Pelodiscus sinensis: one gene and its partner. The protein of the gene in region 2 interacts with the protein of the main gene of each other region in a biochemical or structural test. Links are inferred from orthologs where the notes say so. Each region holds a gene or a part of one and is shown on either strand. Other genes may lie near its edges.

Region 1 (8,126 bases), on a different chromosome or scaffold from region 2:
GCCAATGCCCAGGGGCTTAATGCTCCCACACAGGTGGAGCTGATGGACATCAGTGTGAGAATTGAGCCACAAGTGGCAATGGGATGGTCATGAGTTTGCTTCTATTCTGGAGAAATGTCTGGTCTCGCTGCTGCTGTTCTCAGGAGACATCTCCTGCCCCATTCAGCAGGTGAGCATCTCCTGTCAAGGGCAGTGCCAGGGAAGGGCAGGGTATGAAAGGGGGCCTATTCTATCTCTGTGGAATTCCAGGGCCATTCACATGAAGCTGATGGGGTCTTGATTTGGGATGGGAGGCACCAGGCAGAGAAATGATGGTGAGGGACGGGATGTATCTTGGACAATCGTGGTGAGAGTGGGGTGTTTATAATCATTTGCTGGAGTCATTCATGGAAACCATCATGCCTTGTGTCACATGAGTGATATGTGGTCCCTCCAGCCTCATCTCTTGGCAGAACCTATCAGTCCCAGAGGGGATGACTTAAGTAAGGATCCTGGGGGCAGGGAGGACAGGGAAAGGACCCACAATTAAAATGGCTTTCACAAACTGAAGGGTAGTGTGGGTACAAGGGATGAGCATGTAAGTGTGTAAAGTGCGAGTGGGAAGCTTGTGTCAGCCTGTGCCAACTCGCTACAGGAATGGCTACTGAGTTACTGTTATTCCTTATTTACTGCATGCCACAGGCCTGCACACAGGGGCAGAGTTGCAGCCCCTTCAGTCTGATAAGACACAAACAGTAATGTTCAGCCATAAAAAGCTGTGAATGGCAAGGCATACTCAGTACATCGGTGGGAGTCTTTTTCTAACTGCCCCTTCTCTCCACCATCCCTCACTGTTCTCTAGTTTTCACCACTTTCTGCTGGGATAGCCCATTCCTGCCCCTCTTGTGCAATCCATGTGTTGCTAATTTTAAATTGACATCTTGGCGGAATCTAGAACCAGCAGCTAGCTGAGTCTGTGAGTGGCTATCAGAGAAAGCATTCTTTGGGTGGGATGTGTGGTTGGGTATCACTGCCTGGCTACTTTGCTCTCTCTTGACTTTGTCATAAACAAGAGTCCAACCCACTAGATAGCGCTCTGGGTGTTAAGACCTTCCAGTCTGTTATCTCCAGGTAGCGTAAGTCAAAATAGCTTATTTTGAATTTGGGCGTGTCTACATAGCGCTTATTTCGAAATAGAACACTCTTCCACCGACTTCTCTTACTCCTACCATGAGGTTTACAGAAGTCGGAGTAAGAAGCCCGTTATTTTGAATTTATTTTGAAATAACGGGCTTGCTGAGTAGACGCACACTACGTTATTTCAGAATAACATCCATTATTCCGAAATAACCCTGCTGTGTAGACATGCCCTCCCAGACCTTGTTCCAATTGCCCTTAGGAAATCATGAGTGTAAAGAGGTTGGAGGGAGTCAGCCTAGTCAATCCTTGTAGACGGTGATTTCTCCTCTCTCTCTCTCTCTCTCTCTCTCTCTCTCTCTCTCTCTCTCTCTCTCTCTCTCTCTCACACACACACACACACACACACACACACACACTCAGGTACCTGAGCCTCAGGAGAGGCCTAGGACTGGAGTCACAAGGGGTTCGACAGGCCAGAATGAGGTATGCTGGGGGAGAGTGGTATAGCCAGGTGGGGGCTGCAGGTCAAGACTGAGCAGCATGGGCAGAGCTTTGCAGAGGAAGCTCGCCAAATAGCTGATGCTAAAAATCATTGCTGGTTCTTTGCTTTCCTGTACTTTTCCCTTACCCCTGTGATCTTCCCCCGTGTTGGGAATTTAATAGATGCCCTTTTAATCTCATTCTGTTCCCAGCATTCACCTTGACATGCAGCCTCTCTCTGATTGCATTTGCCCTCACCCTTCTGCCCTCCTTACCTCCAGAGCTTCCCGAGAGTCTTACTGAGCTCTGCATTGTGGAGGTGAGGATACTGGTCAGCCAGTTTCCGGCGGGCAGCCTGTGCCCACACCATGAAGGCATTCATGGGCCGTTTGACGTGGGGTTTGCTTTTGTTGCTCCCATTGACCCGCACAGGCATGGGCACCAGGGTCCAGTCGTAACCACTCAGCACCTGGCTCACTGCCTCCCGGATGCACACGGGGAACTTATCGTCGTCCGTCTCTGAGTCTTGCTGCTCCTTCTTGACCTTTCCCATCTCTCCGCTCCCAGAGCTGGTAAGATGAGAGGTGGTATCTGATGTCATGGAAGGTCCCGGTGAGAGGCAGTGATGTTCTTCAGAACCCACTGGGCTCATTTCTACCTCTGAAAGGTCTTGGTCATCTGTCATTATGTCTTTTGCCCTTGCTCTCTCTCCTGTCTCAATATCCCGTCTTCCCACTGGAAAGGAAAAAAAAAGAAAAAGGAAAAAAAAAAGAAAAACCAAACACCCAAACTAAAAAGATTTGAACCTCTCACAGTACTGGCCACAGGATGGGAACCACTTGATACAAGCAAATCAAAGGCGCTGCCATACGTGCAGCTCACAGGACCCATGAAACCCATGATCGAGTGGGGGCGGGGATCCTGATTAATTGGAAGCTCCCGATCTGTGCTCTTTTCTGGAGTTTAATGTGGGCATATGGAGGTGCCTGCTGCTAGCTGAGCACATTGGTGGCATAGAGTGGAAAAGGAAAGATCAAGGCAAAATACACCCCATTCTCTAAGAATAATCCTCCATAGGGCCCCCCAAAATTTGGCCCTTGGTGATGACACTTTCTATTTAAAACCTATATTGAAAGTCTGACCAGGAACAGAGATGGGGGGGAGGGAGGGGAAACCAGTGGCTTCTGTATTAATAAATCAAAATGAAGAGGTCTCAGAATGGCAGGAGAAAGTTTAGTGAGAATGGCTGAGTTAGAGGCAAATCCCAAGCGCACCCCTGAATTACCGGGTTAGGTAGCTGATGCGGACTGAGAAAGTCTGTGAGTGGAAACGCTAACACTTTATATACAGGTATATATTTCTTTTTAAGCCTCTCTGGCAAAGCCAAGTCTTTAATTTGCCAGTTTCACACATCTCCCCCACCCCATCTCTCTCTCTTGCTCTCTGCGGCCACCACCAAACATCTCTGCCACCATGCACCAGTCTCTCCACCTTAAGAAGGAAATGCTCAAAAAATAAAGTCCCCCCCCAAAAAAAAGTGGATAGAAAAATTTGTCTCCCCTGCTTTAGTAGCAAATGGATCCAATAGGGAGTAGGGTTATTAGCTGCCCGCTCCCCTAGTGAGGCAGGCAAGGATTTTTCCTGTAGAAAAAACTGAAAAAGTAATAGAAGGTAGAAAAAGAGAGTGAGCATGTGAGTGAGTTCAGGTAGGAAAACTTACGTTGGCTGGTCTGCCTGGCAAATCCTGAGAGGGCTGTAATTTGTATCCCAATAGCCCCTCTGTTCTCTCAGAGTGCTGGCAGTGAACAGGAGCCCTGCGTGGAGGAGACTCTCAGACGAGTGCCATTCCTAGAGGGAGACTTGGTTTTTACTAATCCTCTGGCTGGATGTCTCTCTGACTGGCTTGCTGCTTAGCACTGGGGGAGGGAAGGGCAGAAGGTGGAGCTAAGCACTCTTTATAACTGGAATACATTGATTTGATGCAGGCAGGGAGGGAACCTTAACAGCCCCCCCCCCAATCTCCAACTCAGCATATGCATGCTCCTCGCTTTCTTGAGTGCAGGCTTCTCCAGGAACGCTGCAGTCTACTTTTATTTTATTTTTTCCCCCTCCTGGGGAATTAAAATAGGATGTGGTTTATGCCATGGATAGTGAGGGGGTCTGTTCTGTTATCTAAGAAGACTGGGTTTAAGTTCCTTGCCTGGTCTCTCTTGCCCTCAGCCAACAGGTTTTTTTCTAGGGGCCAGGCCTGGTGACCTAGGAGTTAGCATGGAGTGGTAGGTTCTAGTCACAGCTGCCCAAGGACCAGCAGGACCTGTGTGCACTGCAGAGGACAGGTCTGGTATAATGTGGGTTATTGCTGTCCTATAAAGGAGGCCCAGATTCAAAATGCTCACTCCTGGTTTTTTATTCTATAAGGCTAGTGAGGGCTGGGAATAACCCAGGAGCTTCCTGGGGGTGATGTGTTCTAGATACATGACAAGGTTTGGGGGATTAATACTTTGTGACCATGCAGAAGACATGGGTTTGACTCCCTCACTTGTGCTCCTTTGCCCCTAAGATGGGACTGACCCAGCACTTACATGCCAATACGGTGTTAGGAGTGTTTTGTGGCAGACACCCCAGGTTCTGGTCACATAGGAAGCAGGACTGGACCACTTCTATGACTTGTCAACACAAGGATGGTGGTGAGGAAGGGGGATTCTCAGGAGTTGCAGAAAGAACTCTCTGACTCTCATTATCTGACCCTCCCCGCTCCCCCACGTGTGCATTGGATCACATAAGATATACATGGTAGCGTGGATTAGTATATTTTCCATTACACATTTTGTTTTCTCTCCTATTAACCTCCCAGAATACTTTGTTCTTTGGATTCCTAATATCACTTTCTGTCTCACCCATGTGGCTGAAAACCCAGTGACGTATCCATTCAGGATTCCCTCTGCAAAGATTTCAAGACTTGGAACCAGCCTTTCCATACCGTCTGGTGGTACCAACCAGCCCAGCCCAGAACGTTAGGCATGGAGTCTGAATAGTGTGTCAGCGTGGACGTGTTTCAGTGCTGGGCCAGGAATTACAGTGTGAAGAAAGGCCGAGTTGTGGTGAGACATGGACAGAATTCCATCAAAGGAGTTCTAAGGACATTATGAACCTCCGGAGCAGAGCTTGGCTCACTAGAAGACCCAGTGATGGAATGACTGAGTAAATAATGGCCACACGAAGAGACAGGGAAATAATACCACTGACAGGTGGTGAGCATTTGAGCTACAATATCCAACGTGGTGAGGGCCAGAACCAGAGTGGCACCAAGGACAGCTGCTTTAGAGCCCAAAGAAGAAGTCTATGTTGAAAGCTTAATGAAGCCAGGTTCACTGACAGCAAGTACTTGGCATGTGTGTAGTATTCAGATACTCCAAAGGGCAGCTCTCTGGGTGGGGTGTGGCACCAAATAACTCCCCACCAGGAGGCTGATTTTAACTCTTTCTCTCTCCTCTCCTCCACTACTGTTTGTCTGTCTGTGTGAAAAAAGCCCAAGCCAAGAATCTGGTGATTCTCTCCTACCTAAGTAACACGAGGACTTATGGCACCTTTCCTAGTACTGTCCCATCTTCTCTGGGAAGGTGAGGTGTGTAAGCCCCCCTTCCCCTCATATACACACTTCCCAGTTGAGATCCCAGGGGAGAAATCTCAGGCCCTGATTCCTAGATTAAAATGGTGCAGGTGCTGGTGAGGCGAGACCCAGGCATTTTCACACGGGTGCGCTCCCCTATTGGCAAGACACTCTACATGTGTATTCCCTGCAGACATTCTGGTGGGCTGTGAGGAGAAGTCCCATTGGTCTTACAAGAATTTTTTGGCATTTTTATCTTCTCTTCATTGGGATTTTCATGACCTGCTAAAACTGCCCCACTAAAGGAAAAAGAACCGGGGCAGGTGGCCTCTTCCCAAGAGCAATAATAATCATCAAGGCACCCTAGGTGCAGTGTTGCTGTATCACACAGACTTTGCTGAACTGAGCACCTCTTCTTTAGTCAGTATGGTTCATCATTAGGCTGACAAGAGCCTGTGTGAGGGATCCAGGAATCTCCATGGAGAAGAGGAACAGCCTGAGGGAGGAGGAGGGGATTGTCTCCTGGTCCCATGGGGAGGTAGCCACGGCTGAGAAACACTGGCCTAATTGTTCCCCTGTCTGCAGTTAATACCAACCTGGGATGGGGGAAGGGCAAAGCAGGATACAATAAGATGGGGCATTTGTTTCCCATCCCTCCAGGTGCAGGATCCTGCTGACCCCAGGAGACAGAGAGAATGGGGAAGAGATTTTTTTTCCCCCCAAGAATGGGATTACAAGGACCTGGTAGCAAAGCTGTAGGGAATAAGGCACTCGAGGATTGAAGCTCCTGCTCTAAGAGAACCCCACTTAAATCTAGGGGAGATGATGGGATTGGAGATCCCACCTCTTCAATGCTTATGTGTCCCTAGGGACTTGCGGGTGGGGAGCACACACTGACCCTTCCCAGTGCTGGGACAAAGAGACCAAATCTTTTGTGTTTTGGTTTTCCTTCACTTCTGCGTTTCAGATTCCCTCTCCCCTCCCCCAAAGTACCTCAAAGACTGGAGAGCAGCACAAGTATTTCAGCCTAATTTCCTGCCCTGCCAACTTTTCCTATTGCATCAAGGCAGCATGGTGGGAAGTATCAGGGTGGCTGAAGGTGTGGCATCATTTCTCTAACTGAGATGAGAGGATGCAGAGTGGGAGAAGACCAGCACCCATCTCTCTGCAAGGAATCATTGTGGGTGACACTTTTTTATCTTCAGATGAACGGGTTTGGCAGCTGCAAGGTGTAATTTCCAACTGGAGCAGAGATAGCCACTCTAACTCTCATTAAGCTATCGTACAAAGAATAGAAGCATAGCTGATACAGTGTGAGTAGCAGGATGGGCTGTCAGCCCCATATATGATACCTTCCGAGACCATACATACCTATTTGATTGACTAGTCCCTCTGACTTCTTACACTGCTGCAGCAACGCTTCTAGTTTTAGCACTCTAGCTTGATCAGAGCTAGCGTGGTTTTCTGTTCAGGATGGAAATGACACTTTTGAGCTCCTGTGTGGACATAGTGTATGGCCAAGACATCTCCTATCACATCTGGTAAATTTCAGCACTGATCTTTGTAAGGATAAGGATCCCCTGGGTTCTGCATAGAGTACCATAGCCAATAGGTACCCGGGCAGCAATCTCTTTAAGGTTTCCATCCCCGTTTCCAAGTTAAATGATGTTTTTTCATTATCTCTGTAAAGCTAAGATTTCTGGGTCTCAAACTTGTTTTAGTCTAGGGATCGTAGCCCAGCCGTTAGTCCACTGGCCTGGGACTCAGGGAACCCTGCTGTGTCACAGACTTCCAGTGTAACCTTGGGTAAGTGACTAAGTTGCTCCATGCCTCAATTTCCCATCTGCAAATGAGGATTATGGCACTTCCATGCCTCACAGAAGTATTGTGTGGATGAATATATTAAGACTGATGCACTCGGATACTATAGTAATAGGGGCCATATTGTTGTTTTTAGCCAAGCATTAAGGATCAAGACTAGAAGAATAGGTGAGCCATCTACAAGTCCAAAAGGAAGGTCTGAAGGCAGGCTCCAGGCTCAGTGGTCTGAGTAGTTACAATGCAGTAGTAAATGGATGAGATACCAAGAGACAAATTCATCCCTGGGACAACTCCATGGTAGTTGAAGTGTCTATCTGGTGGGTGACTAGGACAGGAAGAATAAGAGTTCTATTGGGATGTGACCCATGAAGGAGGAAGAGTGTGTCTGAAGTAGGGGGATGGAAAAGAAGTCTCCTTGCAGCAAGGAGGTGAGGGAAAGAAGAGCAAGAAGTCTGGGGATGCTGTTTCAAAGAAAGCTCTGGGTGCATAAGGGCTGCACTTCTTCTTAACCAACCTCTCCTTCAAGTTCCAGAGCAAGCTTGTGCCATGTGATCATATATGCACCACAAATACCTGAGCTGCTTCACTCCAGCAGCAATCCGGGTAAGTATGACAGCGGCTGTTTTTGTGCCATATCCCTTCTCAGGGGCACAGGACTGGTATTGTCCTGGGACTGCATGGGAAAATGGGAGGAGCTCACAGTGAAATCTTTCCATACAATAAAACAGCGTCAGAGTGGGGGGAACAGACACTGGAAAACACACACACACAATAGCCAAACAATAACGCCAGTGTGCTGAGGGAAAGGGAGACCCATGAATTGGGAGTTTGATAAGGGTTCTCTCTCTCTCTCAACAACCCCTTCAGTTTCCCTCTACACCCCCCTCCTTCCCTTGCCTGCTTTCTTGTTTGGGCTTTTAACAGTGCGCTGTCTTTGTTTGAGATACAGGTGAATGACAATCATGTGATTAACACACACACGCACACACACACACACACACACAAAGCTTTTTAAAAGCGTCCAGCTTGCCACAGACCCAAACAGGAGAGAGGAGACAGGGCCAGGCGGAGCAGAGAGAGCAACTGCCAGACTGCA
Region 2 (9,045 bases):
AAACAGACATCAACAAACGCACTGTTTTGAAATATTGCTCGGATGTCCTAAAAAAACGAAAATGAAGTTGAATTAAAAACCCAGGTAATCCGAACTAGAAATAATTTTCCAGATAATATGCCTGTAAAAATACACAAAGTAATTTATTCTAACATTTAGACTAAATACGTTTATTAATCTTTACCTTAAAGGAGAAAGAAAGAAAGAAAGAAAGAAAGAAAGAAAGAAAGAAAGAAAGAAAGAAAGAAAGAAAGAAAGAAAGAAAGAAAGAAAGAAAGAAAGAAAGAAAGAAAGAAAGAAAGAAAGAAAGAAAACTTTTTGGGGGGGAGAGGAATATATATAAAAATGCAAACAAGTTAATATTTGTCAGAGGATCTATGTTAGCCTGTATACACACTCTTTTCAGTATCACTTCATTTAGCTGTATGAAGTGGAAATCCATCAGCTTCGTGAAGAAACTCGCAGAGTTTTAACATGGCTATTCCTGAGTCTTAGGGTACATGTATGTGTAAGTTGGGAAGACAGCTATGACAGGAGCTAGCTACAGTGCTAGATAAGGATACAGCAACATGCTAAAAAAAAAACAGAATATAGGCCCCGATCCTGTTAATTCTCCAGCTCTCGGATCCTGACTCAATGGCGAGACCAACTTCCTCAACCTGGACCAGCCACCCTGGAAATGCTCCACCCTTAACCGGCTCCTACAGGTTTTTTTTTGGGGGGGGGGGGTAGCCTATGCAGGGGCCATTCAGGGGAATAAGAGCTTGCAGGATCAGGCTTTGATTAGTTTCTGGTATTTTGAAAACTAAACGCTTAAGTATTTTAGGGAGTTACAGAAACAGGTTGGGGGTTACATACAAGAGAGAGAGAGAGTGTGTGTGTGTGTGTCCCTGCACACGCATATGGACAGGTGTGTTGATTACTAAGGTGTTTACATGGGCACAGACAATTATGCAGCCTTTGGCTGCATTTTGTCTCATATTAAATACAGTACACTGACTCCCCAGATGCTGCCACCTGCAAACCCTTAGCCAGGACCAGGCTTGTGTCAAGTTTACTAGCCCCAATAACGCTCCTATGTGCATCCTTTCCCAATCACCGCAAAAGCACAGTGGTCTCTCTCCCGTTCCCCCCATCTTTCAAGGTTCTGAGCGCCCTCCGTTCTCGCTGAAATCGAAGTAGCTTACACCTGGCAGGGCAGGGACCTAAACGCAGAGCCACTGCACCTGATCTCCTCACCTTGGGTTTGCTGCCCCCGATGGCCCCCGGCCGGATGGAGCCAGTCTCCTGGTACCTGCACAGGATTTTGGAGACGCAGCCGTGGGACACGCGCAGCTGGCGAGAGATGACACAGGGCCGGATCCCGTGATGGGCCATCTCCACGATCTTGTGTCGGATGTGGTTGGGCAAAGGCCTGCCATTGATAAAAACTCCACCGAGCTGGTTGACTCTGCCTTGGCCTAAAGGAGTGGACACTAGAAAGAAAGGGAAGCGGAGTTACTGATGTGTGTGTTTCACAGGCAGCCGCGACTTTTCGTCAGTCACCCAGCCACATACACCCAAACATACGCAAGTTCATCCGCTCCATCCCTGCACCAGGTTAGTGCCAGGTTGCCTGGCTGGACAGTTCTGGGATGGTTAGAAGCTTTGGGAGGCGAGCTAGAAGCAGTAGCTGACAGCTGAGTGTCATTTTCGCCCCCACCGGTTAAATAATGTTTCAGATTCATCAACAGAGCGCGCCTTCAGAGAATGGAAACGTTAAACCCGACTAATTCCAGATGCAACTTCAGGAGCCAGATGACATTGTATTCTCAGGCTAGTTACACAGTTACCACGGGGTCCTTCCTGTTAGGGCGGGAATTGAGCGCCCTTACAATTTCTGGGATATGTGACTCCATTCATCTAATCTAATCTAATCTAATCTAATCTAATCTAATCTAATCTGTCTGTCTGTAAAACAGACTGAAGGAGAAAACAAGCGTAAATTGTTCACCTGTTGCACTCTCCATCATTTACCACTGGGAAGACTTGTACTACCTACTTGAATTAACCGCTACTAGCAGAAGTGAAAAGGGGGAAATCATAAAACTCCCAGAGGAATCTTTTAAAGGATTTGGACTACGGAATTCCGATGTGCTTCTTGTTATTATAACATTTTACGCGTTTGCAAATTTCCGCAACTCTAAAATTATTAGGTTCTTGTTTCATTCTCTTTTCATTTCACCCTCAGCGCTCCTTTCACCGTTTTCACACAAACCAGAGAAACTTTAATCAAAAACAAAAACGTGAGAGAGACAGCCTACTCCAGGAGGACACGGGAAGTGGGCTGGTGTCTAAAAGCCCGTTTCAATGCTCTCAAGCATCCCCGTCCCCCAACTCGCTGAGGATCCGAAGCGATTTAGAACCGAATATCGCAAACCTTGTTCAGGCTCACTGTCCATTGGTATCCGTGGGCGTTTTCTCTGAGTAAGGTATGCGGGATCGGATCCCAAATTAAGAAGACAGAACCCCTATCAACAGGTTCTGCTTCCCTCCCCGTAAATTTATTCCGGCGCTCTAATTTACAGTGTTGTCTTCAACGCAGAATCCGTGCATCGCTTATGTGGAGAATGTTAATGCAAACAATGCACGTTTATTGGTGTGTAGATAGTGAAATGGAGTTTCTCTGAGCACTCTTCCAAGTTGTTAGGAGGAGGGTTTTTTCTTGCTCTAACCGTGTGCAGTTTCAGTTCAGTTCTAATCTATGATTTAATCTAAGTAACTACTGCACAGCGTTGGGTGACAAAAAGTTTCTCAGCAACACACACATGCATAGAGAGTTAAAAAAAAGCATCATGCATCTAGACAGCCTTCCTACCTTCTAATGGAAATCCGCTGCGAGGGTAGTTCTGCCCGGGAGCTGGTCGCATCATTCTTGGGACAGCTCCAGCTAGAGTTGTCATGTTGTACGCAGCGTTACTTGAATATTATATCCAGGTAAATGCTGATAAACGAGAGATCAGCTCTGGCAATAGATCCCAGTGGAAAAGTCCTGGAAAAAAGGGAGGGGGTAGCCGGGGCGGGGGGAAGCGACTTGCTCTCCTTTTGTCAACAAGACGTGATATCCCAAAGCAAAGGGGAGAGAGACTGACAAGGGGAAAGAAAGGAAAGCAAAGTTTGGGGCGAGGAGGGGAAACTTGCATACAAGTGGCGGGAAGGCGCTGAGACGGCTGCTGGCCCCTGTGGGAAGATGAACGCACTTTCATATGAAAAGGGGGAGGGGGCAGGAATGATTTCTTCCTGTTGTTGATACAGAGTGAAAGGAACTCTGCTCTGGAGTATTTATTAGTTCTTTCCCCAAAGCTTCAGCAGGATCTCTGAGCTGCGATTGGCCAGCCGGGAGACTGTCCCGTCTGGAGAAGACAGGAGCTGATTGGGTGAAATCTTCAACTTTCTCTTCTCATCATTACAATCGAGGCCTCAAACTAGGAGTGTGACCCAGGCATTGCCTCTTCTCTTGATAAAGTGTTCTTTCATAGAATGGCTGGGCAGGAGAAAATGCAGAAGCAGGGGAGAAAGCAGCCTTCACTGGGGAAATTGTTCATCCCTTTTACAACTGTCTTGGCACCATGCCACTTGAAGGAGATTACAATAAGGAAGCAACCAGACACTTGCATTTCTTGAAGTCGGTCTCTCTGGTCACCTTTTCTTTCCTGGGGGGATTAGAGAAATACAGAGCTGTATGTGGTCCTGGTCAAACAGCCTGCGAAAAATGAAAGGGGAAGTGGTGTGTCTATTGGTACAGTTCTTTGTCTGCCTCTTTCCAGCACATCTTCTCAGAGGATGTGTGAAGGGAGGAATAAAACTGTCCCCTCTCTCCCTCCCTCCACTGAAATCAGTAGCAATGGGGGGGGGGGTGTCTATGGAGCGAACGGCGCTATCTGGTTTTTAAGCCCAAGTCTCCATTGTTCCCATTGGGAATTTCTGCTTTAAAAAACGGATGGCAAGATGTGGCCCTACGTTATATATTTGTGTGTGTTAAAGTAAGTCTTGCTAGCAAGCATTTGTTCCCAGGAATTTATTGTAGTATTCAAACTAAACTGCTGGAAAAATAAAAGAAGTAAAGTCTGACTAGGAGCTGAAGTGACCACAGCAGGATATGACGCCAGGAGTGTTGTAAAGACTGTCTGTCCTTAAAGAAGGTACTATTGTGCATGTCCTTTTATTTATAACTTGGTAAGTGCCAGCAAACTCGCCTCCTTTGCACTCTGAAGTGCCAGCCCGGCTTTGCACAGTGCTCTTTATTTGCAATAGTCTATTCAGTAACTGTCACTCTCCAGCCTCAAGTTATTCAAGACCTTAATCAATCAAAAGGATGAGAATCGTTCAGGTTTCCCCCCCTTTGAAATAAAGGGAACAATGAGTTCTAGGCTTAAAGTTCCCCCTTTCCCTTTACGATTTTGGGAATGTTTCTGTTGCTGATTCCGTTCTCTTTGGGGATTAATGTTAGTTTAAAAATGTATCACTCATCAGCTGCATCAGCCTGCAAAATAAAATAAACCATGAAGAAGCCACAGGTCTCAGACTTTGCTCAGTGAAAACAAAAGGGCACCGCAGAAAGAGTTTTAGACAGCAAAATGAACGTAGTTCAGCGTGGAAGATGTAAAGAAAGAACCCCGCCTCGATGCTCTCATAATTAACAAATAGACAGTAATTTAAACTAGAGTCACGCAAATGCCATCACGATTAGTTATCTGGCTCCTAGTTGTTTACCAGGTTCCAGGCTGTTGATTCCGCACTCTCAGACCCTGCATATCAGAAATAAAATAAACGAGATCACTTTTAAAACGCACCATTTAAAAATTGTTAAGTCCCTCTGGACTCCGTCTGAAATTTGGGAATAGAGCCGATAAGAAAATATTTTTTAAAAAGCAGGTTAAGTTTGCGGAATAAAAAAAAGTAATATCTTCTGCTATCGAAGTATTTCATTGTTTATTTCTACCTAAAATACTGAGAGGACAAATTGAGGCTGTATGTAAAAAACTGGATTACTTTGCTTTTTCATAGCTATTTATATTTCCCCCTACATTGCAGTACTTATGCATGGTCATATGTTGAATGCATAAGATAACATTAAAATGTTTTAACACTGAAACTTTTGGAAACTTTCTAGGAAAGCTACAGTTTAATTTGGCCACGTGATTTGACATTTAATTTTAGATTCTTAAAATGGATATGGGGGAAATATGTTGTTTTATTTTAAACGTTGAATCGTGCTTGGAAAAAAAAAAAGCTAAAGCTAAAAAAGTGTGTGCATGCGGACTAAGCTGTTCAGTAGTAAAGAGACTACAATATTTCATAATATCCAGGCTTTCAACATATTGACCTCCCGAGCAATTGTACATTGCAGAGACGTGCCACCGGAAAGTGCATGCGGATATGATAGTCACATTGCTGATGAAGTACAGAGCAGTGATTTTAGCACCTGAATCTGCAAGTTAAGTCTGCAGTGTAAGACATATATTCTAAAAAAGAAGGGGGGGTCGCTACGCTGCAATGATAGGTGTGAAATGTCTGAACTACATTGTTTCATTCCCCCCCCCCCCCCCACCACACACACACACACGTTTTTCTTTTGACCCTACCCTGCGAGTGTGTATGTGGACTTAGCGGTGGCTCCGGATAGCTCTTCAGCTGGTAGCAGGAGAGAGGTCGAATCCCAGGCCGTCTTGGGGGCGGGAGAATGCATTTGCTGACAGTCATTGCTGCTTCGGTAAATCTACAATGATCAGGGGTCCATTTGGCACCAATTGAAGCCAGTGGGATTACCCCCCAGAAGGGTTAACTTCCCTTTGCTCGCCCTCATACAACCCGCCCATGCTTGAGCGTCCATGTAGGAAACTAGCTGAACTCACCACCTGTCTGTGTGCCAGATGAGGGTGCCCAAGGGATTGACTTAGGGGGTTACTTGACCAAACCCGTTGCTACCCCACCTCTGGAGGGTCCCTCTCCCCATAGCTGACATCATCCCTGTTCCTCCAACACTCCCTGCCTTTCCTGGTTTGTGGCCGACTACAGCCACCGCAAACAACAGTGGGCTCTGGACCCCCGCCCCACCCCAGCCACTTCAGGATAAAAAACCCTCTCCTCATCTTTCCTACCTAGCCAGGCCCCCATTATGGAGCTTTTCCCACCCAGGAAGCCAGTTGTTTTGTGGGGGGGGCTGTGCCAACTGCAGTAAATTGGGCCTCTGGACCAGAACCATTAGCCCGTCGCTCCGCAGTGGCACGGCTCGGTTTACATGCGCCTGAGCCCAACGCTTACATAAAGCAAAGAGGCTGGCTGGAGTTGGACCTGGCAACTGGAAAACTACTCCCCCCCCTTTAAGGCCCACAGGCTTACCAAGCGATCTCCGGCGAGCAATACAGCCCCAAGCCTGCACGCGGCCCGTGTGTTCCAGCCAACAGATTTTTTTTCTTGAAATAGGGGGAGTTTCGAGGGGGCGCGTGTTACAGACCTCAGAGCCTATTGCACCTCAGAGCCAGGCCTATGGATTTCCCCATAGCAGGAAACAGACCCAATGTTCCTGTACCCTGCATGGGGAAATGCACTCTACGGGAAATGCACTCGTCTTTCTTAGATGCTTCTTTCAGGGCATGCCATTAAACGGGTTCTCGGGGATGCGCCGCCCCCCCCAACCCAAACTTAGGAAAGGGAAGGAAACGAGGACTAACAAGACGCTCCACTCCAGCGAAGTAAAGGCAATGAAGCATTTCAGGGGCACGTCCGGGCTGTCTCTTTACTCGCTGTAGTTCCTCCCTGGTAGTATTTTCCCTTCAGAAATAGTATGATGGAAATAAAACGCGGAGCCTCCCGCACGCTCTTATCACACACCGCCGTTGGCTTTGGGGAAAGGAAATTACTTGGTTGCATTGCTTCGGGGCCCGATCCTGCCGCCACCGAAATCCATGGCAGTGCTCCATGGTTTGAATGGGGCCGGGATCAGGCCCTTCCCGACCTGTTATGGACGCCGGGTTCTATCCTGCTTCCCAATCACAACACTAGCAAAATGCTCGTTGACTCCAAAGGGACAGAATCAACTCTACGAAGCGTGAAAATGATTTCAAAAGCCACTTGCCCTGGGAGTTTTGCCTGAATTTGCAGACTCCGTCCGGCTCGTGGGTATCAATATCACAAAAGCCGAAATTGTGCCTCATCTTCTCCTGCTTGGGAACTGTTAAAATTCCAAGCAAAATGATTAGACATGAGTGCCTAGCCCCCCATATTAGAGTCTTTTAGCCCAGCAGAGAGGATTTCACGGTTTTCTAGTGGAAATAGCTAAAAATACTCCTGCTAATTACAGAGCCCTTCCAGGCCAGGTGCACTTTTAATTGGATTAGTAAATGCTCTATATTAAACCTGCAGCACATCAAATGGGCAGTGAAAATTAGAGCTATTAGGAACAGAGGCAATTATTTATGAATGATAACAGTACTGTTTTCTCCCCTATTACAAAAAATCAATTATAATGTGTTCGGGGCTCTGCAAATGTAGTGTGAATTGCTATTATTCTTATTTCTCCTGAAGACTGTTAAGCGTGAATTCGCCATAGGACTACTTCCACGGTGGTAAAATGTATTTTAAGTGTAAATTAATTTGAAAGAAAGAAAGAAAGAAAGAAAGAAAGAAAGAAAGAAAGAAAGATTTCATTCTGCACTTCATATTTAGTTGATATTTTGGCAACATATTTTATTGCAAAGCAGGCAATAATTTCCAGAAATAAATGCATAGGTGAAATTGTAGTTCTAAATTGTCCATGAAGGAGCAAGTCACCTTTCTGTCCGGATGATTTTGAAAGGAATTTGATGGTTTCTGCCTTACTTGGTTCTTGAAGGTTTGTTGTTGCTGGTTTTGTTGTTTGATATCAGTTTTTAGTAGGAAAGAGAGAGACCAGACTTGTGACTCCCCGCCCCCTTTATGTCCGTTGTTTTGTTCTTTTTGTGTTTCTAGTCATAACAGACACAATAAAAGAAAGCATAATTTGGGGTACAGAGGGTGCTTTGTTTCCAGCTAGGGAAATTTATTCTCTGGGAGTTTACAAACATATATCTTGGATAAAGGATGGAACTTTTTCCTTGATTTGAGGATGTCCCAAATCAGACGTTGAGGATTTTCTGTGGTTAGCCAAAGAGAAGCTAAAATTCACAGAGAAAAGGATGCACTTCTGATCTTGGACATTATTCTGCTACATTAAGAATTAAAGCCCCCGATTGGAAGAGTTTGCTTACTGGCAAAGGGAATATATTTTACTGCATAAAATCTAGAATTAAGCTAATAAAACCTTATTGAAGAAAAACTTACAAACGAGACCAATAGTTTGGGATTCATATTATAAGAATATTCAACATTTGCCAGGCTTAGACTTTGGACTACATATAAATGAAATCTAGAATATCCAGAGCTGAGAGATAGATAGACAATATGACACATGGTGTACTGTGGAGTGAAAATTAAGAATCTTCTACAATCTACCAGCAAATTTCACTAACAAACCAGATAAAACTATTCATAATCCAATTTCTTCCTTTAAAAAAAACTGCAGTAAACTGTGTGCAACAAGTGTTGCTATTAACAAACAAAAAAAAGAAAGCAATGTAGAGCAAGACTCGCATGGGAGTAGGAATCTACTTTACAAATGGCTTAGAGGAGTAGCCGTGTTAGTCTGTAACAAAAAAAATAAAAATAAAATAAAAACCCTGAAAAAACCCAACGATGATCTGTCGCGCCTTAGAGACTAACAACAATATATAAACAGTATCATGAGCTTTCGTGGGTGCAACCCACTTCTTCAGCTGAGAAATAATTAGAAAAGGTTTCACTGACATTTACATGTGGAGTCAAGTGCTATTCGAGGTAGGTAAATGGAGCAGAATCTGGTCTTTAGCGAGAAATAAAGATGAAAGGTCCTCAGGGAAAGATAAATTCTACCCTACGCACAAGGCAATGATTAGTGAACTATAGACTGAGATAGGAGATGTAGGGCTTTCCTCTAGTTCTAGAATTAGG

Evidence for each region.
Region 1: the proteins of PAX3 (region 2) and SOX10 form a complex in vitro, tested with the Homo sapiens proteins (2 studies listed by BioGRID and IntAct). The link is inferred for Pelodiscus sinensis from reciprocal best matches to the Homo sapiens genes PAX3 and SOX10.

Annotation. Positions count from the first base shown.
Region 1 is NC_134711.1:92,113,260-92,121,385, reverse strand, and holds the start of SOX10 (transcription factor SOX-10), read right to left. Parts: upstream 3,509-8,126; 5' UTR 3,320-3,508; intron 2,335-3,319; 5' UTR 2,285-2,334; coding exon 1,875-2,284; intron 1-1,874. UniProt on the Homo sapiens protein: Transcription factor that plays a central role in developing and mature glia.
Region 2 is NC_134720.1:15,726,530-15,735,574, forward strand, and holds the start of PAX3 (paired box protein Pax-3), read right to left. Parts: upstream 3,692-9,045; 5' UTR 2,943-3,691; coding exon 2,858-2,942; intron 1,476-2,857; coding exon 1,240-1,475; intron 1-1,239. UniProt on the Homo sapiens protein: Transcription factor that may regulate cell proliferation, migration and apoptosis. Involved in neural development and myogenesis. Transcriptional activator of MITF, acting synergistically with SOX10.